3 linked regions of the Nothobranchius furzeri genome follow. The protein of the gene in region 1 purifies or fractionates together with the protein of each later gene. This does not show direct contact. Links are inferred from orthologs where the notes say so. Each region holds a gene or a part of one and is shown in the gene's direction. Other genes may lie near its edges.

Region 1 (5,639 bases):
TGCAGGTGTCCGGGGTCAGGAGAGGCTCGCCGCTGCAGCTTTCACTGGCTGTCCTCCTGGGAGAGAGGCCTTCTACTGGCATAACGTTAATGTTATTTACTGGTTTGGTGTCTGCATGCTGCAATTGAAACAAATACTAACTGATAACTCATCTGATCATTCATTTTATTATTTACAGATGTTTTTGAACACATTACACAAACATAAAATGAAAATATGGTAAGGGGACAAGACTATTTATAATCAATGACAAGTATTAAAAGATGCAAGGATGGAACATTTATGTACACGTCATGCAGGATGTACTTTGCTAAGTGTCTTCATATGACTCGTCGTGATTTGGCGCTATAAATAAACTTAACTGATTAACCCGTGTGAATTTCCTGGATCATTTCTTTAAACCGAGTGAGCAGGTGGTTGGCGTGCTGCAGAAGGATCCCAGACGTGGATGGAGGGCTGGGCATTTCTGGTTCAAGGGTGGAACATGGTGCAGGGCGGTCTGCAGAGAACGCTTTGGGAGGCATCCTCGCACGACCACTCCATCTTCCATCTACAGGCTGGCTCGATCAACGGCTGTCACATCCCTAAAACATGTTCAGCAAAAATGAAATGAGGAGATGGTTTATGGATTCACCAGTAAAACAATTGTGACTCTTAATTAAAAGGGCAGCATGTTCTTTTCATGGATTCCTACATAAATAAGTTAACAGAAGTCGTGGGTTGGACCGCTGACTGCCTCCATACCAGCCTCTCACCTACAGCATCGCTCGCTCATCCTCCAAGGCCACAATGTCACCAGCGCTGAGGGAAATGTGCAGGATGGTGCATGCTGACATGTATTAACGGGGAGAAAATAGTTTTTATTGTTAAATTTAAAACATAACCTGCTGTAGTGTCACTTTACAGCGGAACTACTGCGTATTTAATGATGTCTCAGTGACCGGTCACTATGTGGTCAAAGTGGACCCTTTCTGAATGTTACACGGCAGAACAACAGTTATTTTCTGTTAAAAGAAAGCAGGGTATAATAAAAACTACAGATGGTTCACAGATTTAGGAAAGATCTAATGCCACTGTCAACTTAAGTCTGTTTTTAAAGCTTTTACACCCACTTTAAAACAGATTAAGGAGTTGTAAAAACCACATGAGAGCAGGTCCTGCTGTAGTTAAAATGTATATAGTTCATAATTATCCACATTTTAATACTCTAGTGGCCTTTACCCACCAACCATCCTGAAACTAACGTCAACATGGAAGTCCTGAAGGCTTGTAGACTAAACTAGATGACTTCACCCAGGTTGTTCACCAGCCTGAGGAACAAACCTGGTGAAGGTAAAGCTGCTGGGAGGGGGGGCTGCTCTATTATCGCTAGCTTTAGCTGTTAGCTGCCGCCACGGTTGCTAGGTAACGGGACCTACAGGCTGCAGTGGAGGGGGAGGCCAGACCGTCCGACCGCCGGTCTTATCGGTCGAGCAAGGACACGTACTCTCGGGCATTCAGGCTCTGGAGTCGGACACACCCAGTTCCAACAGAAATGTTCCAAACAAGGTTCCCAACAGGCTTCCGGGCCTGCTGCAGCCTGTCGCCGCCCCGCTCCGCTGCCAGGAAGTTGGGAAACTCGGTCACCGCCCTGCCCCCACCCCTCCTCCACTCCACTTTAGCCATTGTTGGGCGAGAGTCTGCCTCACCGAAACGGTTCACACCGAAACTATTCCCTCGGTACCGCTCAGAAGACTTTACACAGGCGCTTATTGTTTTGAAGCGTGGAGGTTGTTTTTTCCCCCCGAAAAGAAGCAAAGCCAGCCAAAAGTCGAGAGCTACGTCACACGGAGCCCGAGAAGAGAGGAAAACTTTTCAGGAGAGGATTCCGGACGTTCTCCATTTTGAACTTTTGCACTCCGGTTCGTCTTCAGCGGATTGTGTAAAAACCACACGATGACGAGCGTCAACACTCCCAACATCAACTTTAAATGGGACCCCAAGAGTCTGGAGATCCGGACTCTGGCAGTGGAGAAGCTCCTTCAGCCGCTTGTCGCCCAGGTCACCACTCTGGTCAACTCCAGCAACAAAGGTCCATCTAACAAGAAGAAGGGACGCTCCAAGAAGGCTCATGTTTTGGCTGCTTCAGTGGAGAAGGCCACCCAGAACTTCCTAGAAAAAGGAGAAAAGATTGCAGAAGAAAGTCAGTTCCTCAAGGAAGAGCTGACCGAGGCTGTGGAGGATGTCCGTAACCAAGGTAATTCCATGCGCCAGGCTTCTGGAGAGTTTGTTGAAGACCCCTGCTCCTCTGTGAAGAGGGGCACCATGGTCCGTGCCGCCAGGGCCCTCCTCTCAGCGGTTACACATCTGCTGGTCCTGGCAGACATGTCTGATGTCTACAAACTCCTGGTGCAGCTTAAGCTGGTTGAAGATGGCATGGCTAAAGTGTGCGGCGCTGGAACAGAGCAGGATTTGGGGATCCAGTATAAGGCTTTGATCCCAGAGGTGGACAAGCTGAACCACATGGCTGCTAAGAGGCAGCAGGAGCTAAAGGACGTCCAGCACAAGGACCAAATGGCTGCTGCACGTGGATTGCTCCAAAGGAACGTCCCCTTGCTCTACAAAGCGACCTGTGCCTGCCTGCAGCATCCTGATGTGGCGGCCTACAAGGCTAACCGTGACCTGATCTACAAGCAGCTCCAGCATGCGGTCTCAGGAATCTCCAACGCTGCCCAGGCCACGAGCACCGAAGACTCGGCGCTGAGCCAGCCGGGAGGGGCCGGAGAGCTGGCTTATGCCCTCAACAATTTTGATAAACAAATCATTGTGGACCCCTTGGCATTCAGCGAGGAGCGCTTTCGTCCTTCTCTCGAGGAGCGCCTGGAGAGCATCATCAGCGGAGCTGCACTCATGGCTGACTCTTCCTGCACACGCGATGACCGCAGGGAGCGCATTGTTGCTGAATGCAACTCAGTGCGCCAGGCTCTGCAGGACCTCCTGTCAGAGTACATGGGGAATGCGGGGAGGAAGGAGAGGAGCGACGCTCTGAACACAGCCATCGACAGGATGACGAAGAAGACCAGAGACCTCCGCAGGCAGCTCCGTAAAGCTGTCATGGACCACGTCTCGGACTCGTTCCTGGAGACAAACGTCCCCCTCCTGGTCCTGATCGAAGCCGCGAAGAATGGCAACGAAAAGGAAGTAAAGGAATACGCTCAAGTCTTTCGCGAACACGCCAACAAGCTGATCGAGGTAGCCAACCTGGCGTGCTCCATTTCCAATAATGAAGAGGGGGTTAAACTGGTGCGCATGGCAGCATCCCAGCTGGAAACCCTGTGCCCCCAGGTGATCAACGCAGCGCTGGCCCTTGCTGCCAAGCCCCACAGTAAGGTGGCCCAGGACAACATGGACGCATTCAAAGATCAGTGGGAGAAGCAGGTCCGTGTCCTCACTGATGCTGTTGATGACATAACATCAATCGATGACTTCCTTTGTGTGTCTGAGAACCACATCCTAGAGGACGTGAATAAGTGTGTCATCGCGCTTCAAGAGAAGGATGTTGACGGTCTGGATCGCACCGCCGGCGCTATTCGAGGCCGGGCCGCCAGAGTCGTTCATGTTGTCACTTCTGAGATGGACAACTATGAACCGGGGGTCTACACGGAGAAGGTTCTGGAGGCCACCAAGCTCCTGACCAACACGGTCATGCCACGGTTCACCGAACAAATCGAGTCTGCGGTTGAGGCCCTAAGCACAAACCCCTCTCAGCCTGTGGACGAGAACGAGTTCATCGATGCGTCTCGTCTGGTGTACGACGGCATTCGGGACATACGCAAGGCTATCCTCATGATCAGAACTCCAGAAGAACTGGACGATTCAGACTTTGAGACCGAAGACTTTGACACACGCAGCAAAACCAGCGTGCAGACCGAGGACGACCAGCGCATTGAGGGCCAAAGCGCACGCGCCATCATGGCTCAGCTGCCGCAGGAGCAGAAAGCAAAGATCGCTGAACAGGTGGCTAGCTTCCAGGAGGAGAAGAGCAAGCTGGACGCAGAGGTGTCCAAGTGGGATGACAGCGGCAATGACATCATCGTGTTAGCCAAGCAGATGTGCATGATCATGATGGAGATGACGGACTTCACCAGGGGAAAGGGGCCACTGAAGAACACGTCTGATGTCATCAGTGCTGCCAAAAAAATAGCCGAGACCGGATCAAGAATGGACAAACTGGGCCGCACCATTGCCGACAATTGTCCCGACTCATCCTGCAAGCAGGACCTGCTGGCCTACCTGCAGCGTATCTCCTTGTATTGCCATCAGCTCAACATCTGCAGCAAAGTCAAAGCGGAGGTCCAGAACCTGGGAGGAGAACTGGTCGTCTCTGGGCTGGACAGCGCCATGTCTCTGATTCAGGCTGCAAAGAACCTGATGAACGCCGTGGTGTCCACAGTGAAGGCATCTTACGTGGCTTCCACCAAATACCAGAAGACCAAGGCCATGGAGTCCCTCAACATGCCGGCCATCTCCTGGAAGATGAAAGCTCCCGAGAAGAAGCCTCTGGTTAAGAGAGAGAAGCAGGACGACGGGCAGACCAACAAGGTCAAGAGGTCTTCTCAGAAGAAGCACGTGAACCCTGTGCAGGCTCTGAGCGAGTTCAAAGCCATGGAGAGCATCTAGCTGGAGGAGAACGCACGTTCTTAATCCAGGAGTTTAGGATTGAGGGAGCTTTATTGGTTGGACCAGTTCTTCAGATTAGCTTTAATCTTAGCATCGACCTCGGTAGAAACGGCAGCCAGAGGGGCGAGCAGCCGAACCTTTCCGTAACGTAGACGAGAGGAAAGAGCAGATTTAACAGATTAGTAATTCCAGGAGGCTTTTGATGATTTTCATACGATTTCTCATTTAATTTTGGTCAAAATACGTTTTGAACTTTATACATGAACTATGCAAAATCTCAGCTGCCTTATTCCATGTTGTGATTGTGGACTTTCTGCTGATTTCGACACGGTTCACCAGCAGCTTACTAACGTTTTCGTGTGTGAAATCCTAACGTTCTGCTTCGGGTTCCTGTAAACACTTCCTGTTCTGGAGCACCAGCTCGTCTGTCCTGCTGACGCGAGTATAGGCTTTTGTTTTTGAGCGTCCATCAGACCGAACGCCTTCCGAATTCAGTCATTTCTCTGCTCTTAAACCAGCGTCCTGCTTTTCCTGTGCTTGAGCGCTAAATCATGATTTTATTCCAACCCGTGTCTTTATAACAGATTTTTATCTTTCTCTGTATGTTTTAGTGCAAAGTGTCACACGTGTAGTTGGTTGCTTTAAAGGTGTGCACAGCTCTACAGAAAGGAGTTGGCGTGGTGACATCTGGGGGGTGGGGGGGTGTTGGTTTTTCAGATGTAGAATCAGAAGACACAGAAAAGTTCGGAGCTTTGTGCTGTAATGTTTGGTTTTGGATCTCGGGTGAAATCTGACTTTGCTGTGTTGTTTTTTTTATTATTATTATTATTAAAGAGCTGACTGCTTAGTGTGAACAGTTATACTAATGTGCCTGATGTCTATCTTAAATAAAGTAAACCCAGTGTATTGAAGCTGAAATCAAAAGAAAAGGAATAAAAGCCTGACACCAGGAGTGCCGCTTCAGTCTGTTTCTTTTGGTT
Region 2 (5,604 bases), on another chromosome or scaffold:
TGTGTCTGCTTCCTTTTTGCTGCAGCTGTAGGCCAGACAGAGTTACTGTGATGGACACGTTAGCAGAGAAAACTCTTAGGCACAAGAGTAACGTTTTATCAGCCAGAGCTCATAAGTCTCGTGGAATTTCACCCAAAAATCCATAAAGTTTAAATTTGTGAATCTACTCCTCTAATATTCAGCCTTGGCCTTCATGCTGCTGAACATACAAAAAAAGATGGATCTATTTATTAAAAGTATTACATATAGAGGCAACTAGCACAAGAACATTTTAAATAAATTTCATTAACACTAAAAATGTTTTTATTTACGGGCACTGTTGGAAAACCCACTTAAAGCCTTCCTGTTCCGACCCAGAGAACTTAAATTTACCTACTAAAACCTCCTTTTCTGCATGTGTCAGTCTGTAGTTGGGTTATGTAACTGAGCTGAACAAACACAAGTAGAGAGTGGCGTGGAAAACAGCTGCAGGATTCCCACTGACTTACCTGGAAAGCCAACAGCGTTCCCGATCCTTATATGTGGGCCCTGGAGAAAACCGGGAGCTTCTAAACTGTCATCGATGAACACATTAATGACGGTTTATAAAGAAAAGAACTTCAGCTTAGATCTGAAACAGCAGTTTTAGGAGAGTAAGGCTTCCTCTTTTGTGCTGAAGTCGAATGTTCGGACCAAAGCGATTGCAGCAGAAGACCGGAGTTTTCAAAACTGATAAGCTGTCCACAAACCTAACTCACAACAAAGATCCAAATCGGGTCTCACAGCTTTATGCTCCACATTGTTCTGTTTAAAACGAGACAGTATACCCTCTTTTCTACTAGGATCACCATGAGCCACAGAAACTTCAGCAGCCAATCAAAATGTGTTACAAACATGCTCACTTATGGATTTTGTTACATGTACAATTGACCCAAATTTGATTCCACAGAACACAGTCTTCTGTTCACTTTAGGATTTTGTTTGGAAACGTCCCCCCCTCCAGTGTAATGAAGCCTTGGAGCACCTCCTGCATCGTTCGTCGTAGCAGCACAGCCACATAGCGCTGACACGCTGGGAGGTGATGACATGGCAGAACACACAGAGCAGACATGGCAGAGAAGCTGTGCTGCTGATAAAAGCAGAAAGTATAACACCATGTAGGAGCAGCCAGGGTGCGACCGTGCCATTTCCTTTGAGGACAGCAGCGGCACTCACAGGAAGCTGTTAACCACCAGTTTCCTGTCAATGAGACAGCCCAGCAGCTGTTTGACAAGAAGTAGAGTAAAAACCACAAACAGCTGTGGTGTGTGGCTTCACATCCCATAATGCCAGTCTGCATTCGTACAGGCCTGTGGGCAATTACTTTCATGCCTTGGTGTTGTAGACTCATCCCTTAGCATGCCTTTATCTACTAATGACTAACAGTCGGCTACTGCAGTTTGTGTCCATTGTTGAGTTCAGGACACGCCCCTTCTGCTCGCTGATTGGCTGCCTGACAAGTTCACAGAAGAAAAATTTGTCAGGGCGGAAGCACCCCCCACATCTCCCAGTGAACGGGACGGGGGAGAGAGGTGTCAAGATGGAAAAAGGATACACACAGAACCGGAAATCAACTCAATGATGCCTTCACAATCAAACACACACACACACACACACACACACACACACACACACACACACACACAAACACACGCACGCACACACACACACACACACACACACACACACACACACACACACACACACACACAAACCCTGACCATAACCAGTGTATTTCTAATCTGAACTGTAACAAAAACTCTGTTCACATCTCATGTGTAAACCTCACCCCTAAGCTTAAAACAGGAAGTCCACCGGGTTTTGGTCATCATGACATCATCTGTTTGTAATTATCTTTCATTTGTTTCATGATATAGTTTAGTTTCTGATTGATGGGCATTTTATGATCTGATGAATGACTTTAATGAAAAGGTATGGGTGATTTATGAAGCGTGCTATAGTTTTATCTTGAAAGGTTTGACCGGAAACTGCACACCTGAGCGGGCTTGACTTATTGAGCGTGCAGTTCAGCGGAGGACAGGACCAGCGAAAGGAGGATTGTTCTTGTCTTTATTCCCTGACTTTTTCCAGTGCTAGTTTTTGACTGCCGCTTCAGAACAAGTCCGACTTAACTTCTTGTGAACAACCGTCACGATGGAAATCGAGAAGGAAGTGAAGAAGGTAAGCTGAAGCTTTCTCCTGAGCTGACCCCCTCGGTCGGTGACCAGGGAACGCCCTGAGGTGTGCCGAGCGCGTGCAGGTGGCGAGATAACCCACAGATACCTGCCCAGCTGATTACTTCAGCAGGGGTCCAGATTTCTACTGATTTATTAAAACCTCAGTTCAAATATTCATTCATATGTTCTCATGCGTGTTCTCTGCCTTTTGATTGAGCTAGTTTTGTTAGGAATCAGACCTAAGACGTTTCATGCTTTTTTGTTGACCCACGCACTTTCTGTTCGCGGCTTGCGTTACTTACTTCCCTTTTTAATTCGAAGGAAGTCGGCTATAAAACAGAAGAGTCGATTTCTTAACCAAACTCACCACTGTGACCTCTTCCCGTTATTAATGAACGGCAGAAGCTGTTAAAATAACTCGAGTAGTTTTGGGTTATTATTATTGTAAAAGTTTAACGCTTCTGGCACGTGTTGCTTGTAGCGTTACCACAGATGATGTTTGTAGTTGGCTACTATAGATTTGATCAGATGGTAACGCAGATTTACTCTGTTCAACACACTAAAACCTACTTTAAGGTCTGCTTGTTCCTGCAGAGGTAAAACATTTTGCTGCAAGCTTCTGCAACACAGATGCCCATTCCCGCCACTCTGATAAAAAAAAAGTCAAAACATTTAATCAGAGTGGTGAAAATGCGCTTCCATACTGGTAATTAATTAAGCTTTAAATAAAAATCAGTTTGACTGGTACCTGTAACACAGGGTAACAAACCAAAACAGAGCATGAGGCAGCAAGATGTTGCAGAGGGAAGAGGCAGAGAAAAAAATAAAAATACTCAAAACAAAATGGCCAGGGCTTCACGTCAAATATATTTTCTACAATTTAAAAAATATTTTTAAATAATTATTGATATCAATCAATATAAAAAATAAATTATACTATTATTCTGTATCGTCCAGCCCTAGTCCAGGATCAGATGCATGTCTGATGAGCAGTCGGAGCAGAAGCGTCGCTCCCTTTAGCCACCGGCCGTCCTGCTGCAGAACAACCACTCATGACAGTAACTCTGACTCCGTAATTCTGAGTCAGTGTTACATGGTAGAGCGTTAAACCACCAAATAGTTCCCGAGCGCAGCCACTGCTGCAGCTTACGGCTCCCCTCCATGGGGATGGGTCAAACGCAGAGATGAATTTCACCAGTGTGTGATGATGGCTGTGGGACTTTAACTTTATGGATGCAGGTAGTTGCCTTGGATATTTACAGATTCAGATATGCAGCTTCTGATGATGCATATGATGAAGGTGTCTAAACACACTGTGTGTGTGTGTGTGTGTGTGTGTGTGTGTGTGTGTGTGTGTGTGTGTGTGTGTGTGTGTGTGTGTGTGTGTCCTTTGACAGTAACCAGCTGTTGACTTGGTCTTGGTCCAGAGGGCCCAAACCTTTAGCTTTAGTGTTGGTTTATGTAACGAGTCAGTTAGACTAAAACTGAAAAACATTTTTACTATAGAGGTTAACAAAATGTGTCCTCAAAACAAATCCCAAATACCAATACTGATGTGCTGTTGGTGACAAATAGGGCTGAAGAGTGCAGCATCACTGATGTTAGCTGATGTGTGGGGGGTGTTTTCATTGTCTGGGTGCTACTGGATATTTTCTGGAGTCTCTGCAGCAGAAGCTAACGTCAGACATCAACACACTACAGACAGACATCCTCGTCTGCATTCCTCCCTTCTGAGTGTGTGTTGGGTCACAAGTATGCTCCCTGACAGCAGGGGTGCTGGCTGGAATCTTTGAGCCTCGTTGACCATATATGGTCACAGCCAGTGGAGATAGAATAAAGTTTACACAGGCGTTGTGTAGCACAGACAATAGCAAACCAATCCTAAAGTTAAAGCCAAGTGATCAAAGTTGTGGTCCTCATGAGGCAACGGTTGTGAAACTCTTAAAGAGAAGGAGAAATCTTTTCTGCTGAGATCACAGAACATCTGAGCCAGATTAGAGGACTTCAGGGATGTGTCAAAACGTGCGTGTTCTCTCTTGTGCACATGTTGTGTGATCCCTGTTAGAGCCTGGGGTGTGAACAGGGTGCTGCATGCTATATGCTGTTTGCAAAAGTTGGCCTTTTGATTTTACTAGTTTTGTTAGGAATCATACCTAGAAACTAAGATGGTTTCCATGTCAGTGCTGAGTAATTGACCTGATTTTATTTTTTGAAGTGTGTGTGGGGGGGGGGGGGGGTGGTGGTAGGATTAGGGATGGTGCCTTTCACATTTGAATCAATTTGGTACCGATTCCCAGTACCTAGAAATCATATGAGTACTTACTGGTACTTTTGAGTGTGTATTAAATGAACTAATTGTCTTTTAAATATGAAAACCTTCAACCACAACTGTTTCTAAATGATGCAACAATTGAAACCCACCTCCATATGCTCCTAATCCTATTCTATGCCCTCTGGAATAACTATGATGAAATGAAACTAAAGCAAACTTCAGTACCATCCAGCTGTTGAATACTGTGGTGTTTCACAAACTAAAGCCAGCTCCATGTACTCATATTGCTCTCCTGTCCCTTCTGGACAGACTGTGTGATGGTTGGCTCCTTGTAGTATTAAAAACTGCAAATTAAACTGAAGCAAACATCTTTGCAGTGAACTCAACTAAGCTAAACCATCAAGCTAATGGAGCAGATTAAGACGATGACGACTCATTTAGATCAATGTCAATATCAGCAACACCCAGTCACCCATCGCATTTAGTAAAGCGAAGCCAAACTGTATGGCGTCCCTCTGCCTACTCGGAAGTCAAAATGTCCAAGTACCAAGGAGAGAGCGAACACACCATTCTCTGCTAGCAACGAAAGCTCAAATATCAAGCTAATACCATCTTAAACTATTTATAGTATGTAGCAGAGCAAGACAATGATGGCTAACTTAGAAAGTTGTCAATGTTGTCATCATCACCCAGTCACCATCACATTTAGTGAAGTAGACCCAAACTTTAGAGTGCGTTCTTTCTACCATGCTGCTTGCTCTGTTTACAACTCGCCCGCAGCGACTGACGACATGACGCACTGTCCTTGATCGGTACCACGGAATTCGGTCGGTGCCTTAAAAGTACCGAATACGGTGCCCATCCGTAGGGAGGATGAGAAGCTGTAGCTGACCTGATTTGGCCCTCATTAGTCAGAAGGTCTGGTTGTTTAATGACATCATGTGGTTGAATGCTGCTGCTGGCAGCTCAACTGCCTCGTTCACTGGTTAGTGATGGAAGTCATCTGGACAGACTAAATGTTATTTCAGTGTAAAACACCCCCTTAAAGGACAACCACTAAAATCACACGGTTCCATTTCTGTGGTAAAAAAAAACATCCACACAAGAATCTGTGATGTCAGTGATTTTCTACAACTG
Region 3 (4,978 bases), on another chromosome or scaffold:
GTGTTAAAATAACAAGTAAACTTGCTCTTTAAAACTTTTCAACTCTTAAAATGAAACACTTCTATTGACTATCGGAGTCCAAGAAGTTTGTCTCATCTCTTAGTCAGCAACAACTTCAGTAAAGGTTCTGCTTTAAACAATGATCTCCATTTTGTTTCCTTTCTCCAGATTTTGACATCGTTCAGGTCGAAGCCACAGATGCTGATGATCCAAACACTGACAACGCTGATATCCGCTACCGCATCACGAGCCAGGTTCCAGAGGTACCCTACGTTGACATGTTTACCATCAACCCAACAACAGGAGCTATCAGAGTCAATCGTCCAAATCTGGACAGAGAGGTGAGACTTGATAAAACATCTCTAAGAGAAGTTTAGGATTTTTAATTTTATGTAATGGTTACATTTGCAAACAGGACCAGCGATTGAAGTTTTTAGAAGGGAAACATTGAGTTAATATAGGGGTCTGCAACCTGTGGGTCTGGAGCCATGTGCGGCCCTTCAGCCACTGTTGTGTTGGCCAAGAGTGACCTGACCCTGAGTGTTTTATATTTATACTTGGAAAGAGGAATGTTAGCAGTTCTAGTATCTGCTTAGAGCACGTGTCAGACACAAGGCCCGCAGAGCGGTTTTATGTGGCCCACAAGATAAGTATCAAAAATACATTAAAACTGACCCGCTGGCCGATTTTACCACAAAGACTACTACTCCCATGATGCTTTGCGGCGTTAGCGCGGAGCCGAAGCGCCCCCTCCTGTGTTTTTTCCAGCGTCTTGTAATGAGTTAATTTACATGTTATTTAATGAGCCATAAGACATAAGATTACATAATAAATATGAAATCAACCTTATGGATCTGTGAGTACTGTTTAACCAGAAGATTGGAACTTTTTATTGCAGAGATTATGTAACCACTTCGTATTCACTCTGAGACAACAGAAGAGAGTCAAGTTTTAAAAGTTTAAAGATTTATTACTAAACAAATTAGACTCACTTAAACACTAAATGTATGGTGTAACTAAGGTGAAATGAGACAGAGAATGGTGTAGTGTGGAATGTTCAGAACCAGCAAATCTGAAGAAACTATTAGTTCTGGTGGGAAATGAAGGTGATGTCTTCACGCTAAACTTTGTTTAGGAGATTCATAAACACATTCGACGCCATTTGTCGGTCCACATACCCTTAGTGGAAGTCCCCGTCTAGATCAGGAGGTGTAGAAGTTAGGGTTGTCACGGTATGAAAATTTAACTTCACGGTTATTGTGACCAAAATTATCACGGTTTTCGGTATTATCGCGGTATTTTTTAAACTGTGTTGCATATGTTCAGAAAGCATTGATTGTCCTGTTCTACACAAACTGAAATAGTTCTGAAAAGGTTCAACAGTGTTTATTAAACCTAAAATAACACAAAGCCTTAGCAAAAGTGCAACTTTTCACAAGTAAAGGAACAAATTTTTCTGGAACATGTTACAGTAGTCAGTGCAGGTTTAAATTTTACAAATCCAAACATTCGAAACATAAACAATATGTAAACAAATCAAAGAAACACCACTTGTTTTCTCATATACTTGTTTTCTTCATTATCAAAATGAAAATCTAAAACTCCAGTCCACACTTGACTTGAGCACTGTACAAGTCAACCTTAAAAAATATGTATTTAAAATAAATAGCCACTTTAAACAAATTACTAAAATAACTACTACACTATGTAATCAAATCCAAACGTTCAAGTATAAATGGCATTGAATAAGTAAACAAATCAATGACAAAGAACTAATTGTATATTTCTCTTCATCATCAACAAATAAGACGCTTCATCCAGCAACAGGGTGTCCGTGACACGGTTTAAATGCTGGCAGAGGGCGCTGCGGCTGCAGTATATAGTGACTCGTTGTATTCTCCCTCAACCAAAAGTCCTCACGTCATGCATTTAAGCTAAAATGCTAATGTTAACTTACCTTGCACTGGCTGTAGAGACGTGGGTGATGGTCACACACATGTGCCATTAGATTCGAAGTGTTGCTGCCTTTTGCAGACACTTTTCCTGCACGTTCTGCAAACGGGATAGCAGTCTTCCATTAACTGTCCCTCAGCAATTTTCAGAAATCCAAAATATGCCCATACTTCCGATTTAGTCTTCTTTGAGGGCTGATGGATGTCCTGGGCGCTGCCGTCTCCTCCTTCGGCCATTATTTCAGCTTCAAAGTTTTGGTGCCGTTGCAAACTAAAAAGTGCGTGTGCGCGCCGCGGGAAATTCAGCTGAAGCGACGGTGGCTGGTAAGGGTCATCGCGCCGAAACCGCGGCCACGGTAAACCCACCGAGATAATATAGTTTTTTAAAAACTGGACGGTTATTTTTATTGTCAACTTTTTTACCGGGGTTTACCGCTATACCGGTTACCGTGACAACCCTAGTAGAGGTCCAGCTTGACCTTTGTGGAGCCGAAGCCTGTGGAAACAGCCGCGGCAGCCGACCACCAGTCTTGAGATTCTTCCGGGTCACAACAGTTTATCGGCATCTAACAAGACCCAAAACGGGGTCGTGATGGTTCAGCTTTTATTCTGAAAGGAACCGCTGCAGCAGTTGTTTACAGATTGTTTACAGCAACAGATTTTATCCAGCTTGTCGTTGGTTCTTTCGGCTGAAGATGAAAGTTACAGATTGGCCACACCGACAACTTCTCTAGATCGCTTTGAACTGGCGTTAAAGATGACGTGGGCATAGTTTTATTGTGCTATTTAAAAATAAGTTCTGAATGTGAAACGTTACTTGAATAGCAAAGTTTTTAGATGTGTTTTTATTTCAAGATTTCTCGATTTGTGATGCTTTTGGAAACGGGAGATAAGCCCCTGGACTAATGCTCCTCCTGGCTTGGGAAACTTGCTCTCAAATGCTTCCTTTTAGTTATTTAAGTAGCACACACACATTAGGAATGCCTTTGGTGGAATTCAAACAAACCATTTTAATCTAGATTATTCCAAGATTACAGTGAAATTAATCTAGATTAAAAATCTATGCCCACCGCTAGTGAAAATATTTGTTTAAAAATGCTAAAACAAGTGTTTAATGCCCTCCTGCATCATTTTCGTCATTTCTTATGAAAATTTAGGGATAAACTTTAGGTGCTGATGTAGCCTACCAAAGGCCAACTATTTGGTTAATTGTCCACTGTAAGGTCAGAGGCATCCGAGTTTACAGGAGATCCAAGACTTTTATGAAGCAGTCGTTAGTCTGTGACTTTTCTTATAAACTGAAGCGATGGTGTATTACTGCAGATTAACGTCACTTTTATCCAACAGAAATACCCTCAGTACACACTGATGGTACGAGCTGCAGACACACAGGGAGAAGGGTTGTTTACTGAGGCCAAAGTAATACTCAAGGTAACGGACAGCAACGACCTTCCTCCAGTCTTCACACAGTCCTCAGTAAGTACAACACATGTAGACCTACTCGTGCATCAGGATCATTTCTGTAACTTACTAGTGTTGATTTTAACAGCTGACAGGAAGTTTAACTTTGTAAATGAACAGTTTTAGCGTAGCTTGAGCAGTCCAGTTTGTGCTGCTGCAGTCAAAACAATCAAACTACTACACGATGACCCTAAAGTGGAGCTAATCTAGAACCTTCTGAACTTTTCAGTATAAATCATCAGTTGAAGAGAATAAAGTGGATGCTGTGGTGGTTAGAATGTCGGTGACGGACGGAGACGATCCACACACTCAAGCCTGGAACGCCAAGTTCACGATTGTAGACGGAGATGCCGGAGGATTTTTTGCTGTGAAAACGGGAGCCAACAAACAGGAAGGAATTCTTTATACCGTTAAGGTAGGTGCAACAGAGTTCTCCGTAACAAAGTAAAGCTTCACTTAGAGCCAGAACTGCATCTGGTTTGTTGTGTAAAGGCGGAACTTGAAGGGGACACCCAGTGTTGGGTAACCCTGACTCCGACACCGCAGCACAGCCTCAGCAGTTTTTTGTTTTGGCCTCTGAGTCCTGCGGTGGAAACCTTCCATCAGCTGAATGAGCTCCTAGTGTCTTATCTGTTGTGTGGTGTCTCCTCCTCCTCCATTAAACCAGGGTCTGGACTATGAGATGACCAGCATATACACTCTGATGGTTTCAGTGGAGAACGAGGTTCCATTTGTTAATGATGTGCCCACCTCCACTGCAACAGTCACAGTCACGGTCCTCGACATCAACGAACCTCCGATATTCGATCCCACGGAGAAGCATGTGGCCAAACCTGAGAGCCTTCTTCCTGGCAGTGGGGTGACGGTGTACACGGCTTCAGACCCGGACACGGCGCGCAAACAGACGGTCATGTAAGAAATCTGATTAGAATTAACTTGTCTGTATTTAACCTGGTTTCAGCTCAAAACAGAGAGGTGTGTGTATGGTGAAGAGGATTTAAGGTTTGATGAAAACCTTTGTGAACCATAAAGCTTCAGGCTTCCTGCCCTCACCACAATTCACTAACAGAATCATATCTAGAATTTACCAAACATTTCCAGTAAGTTCTGGATAAACCAGAATCACATGAAAATGCAGAAAAGCCCAAAAACTCAGAGGAAGTGGCTGGTGTAAAAATGTCAGCGGAAAATATTTTATTAGTTTGTGTCTGGATGAGTGTCGCCGCCTCAAGCAGGACCTGATCGGAGTGTCTAACGGGAGATCGTTAAAATACTAAACTATAGCTTTACTCCGTTTTAAAACAGAAACAGCGATGCAAATGAAGCACTTTTAGTTGACTAAAGGAAGTCATTTATTTCCCCAGTTAGACAAGTTTGGACATTTTATACGTTTGTGTTAACGGTAATTTTGATACTGGTAATTTTGATGGTGGTAATTTTGATACTGGTAATTTTGATACCGGTAATTTTCTTGTGCCCAGGGGAAAACATGTCCTGAAACGCTTTGTGTGAGTTACTAAAGCTATGAAGGCAAACATGGCGGGTGTAAGGAAAGATTCTGGCTA

What was found.
Region 2: the proteins of ctnna1 (region 1) and tes purify together in Homo sapiens (affinity purification with mass spectrometry; 3 studies listed by BioGRID and IntAct, with this or other methods). This does not show direct contact. The link is inferred for Nothobranchius furzeri from reciprocal best matches to the Homo sapiens genes CTNNA1 and TES.
Region 3: the proteins of ctnna1 (region 1) and B-cadherin purify together in Homo sapiens (affinity purification with western blotting; 10 studies listed by BioGRID and IntAct, with this or other methods). This does not show direct contact. The link is inferred for Nothobranchius furzeri from reciprocal best matches to the Homo sapiens genes CTNNA1 and CDH1.

The regions. Positions count from the first base shown.
Region 1 is NC_091748.1:78,692,827-78,698,465, reverse strand, and holds ctnna1 (catenin alpha-1), read left to right. Parts: upstream 1-1,935; coding exon 1,936-4,659; 3' UTR 4,660-5,611; downstream 5,612-5,639. UniProt on the Homo sapiens protein: Associates with the cytoplasmic domain of a variety of cadherins. The association of catenins to cadherins produces a complex which is linked to the actin filament network, and which seems to be of primary importance for cadherins cell-adhesion properties.
Region 2 is NC_091744.1:52,297,694-52,303,297, forward strand, and holds the start of tes (testin), read left to right. Parts: upstream 1-2,010; 5' UTR 2,011-2,172; coding exon 2,173-2,199; intron 2,200-5,604. UniProt on the Homo sapiens protein: Scaffold protein that may play a role in cell adhesion, cell spreading and in the reorganization of the actin cytoskeleton. Plays a role in the regulation of cell proliferation. May act as a tumor suppressor. Inhibits tumor cell growth.
Region 3 is NW_027223037.1:4,230,228-4,235,205, forward strand, and holds part of B-cadherin, read left to right. Parts: intron 1-168; coding exon 169-341; intron 342-3,299; coding exon 3,300-3,428; intron 3,429-3,642; coding exon 3,643-3,828; intron 3,829-4,080; coding exon 4,081-4,325; intron 4,326-4,978.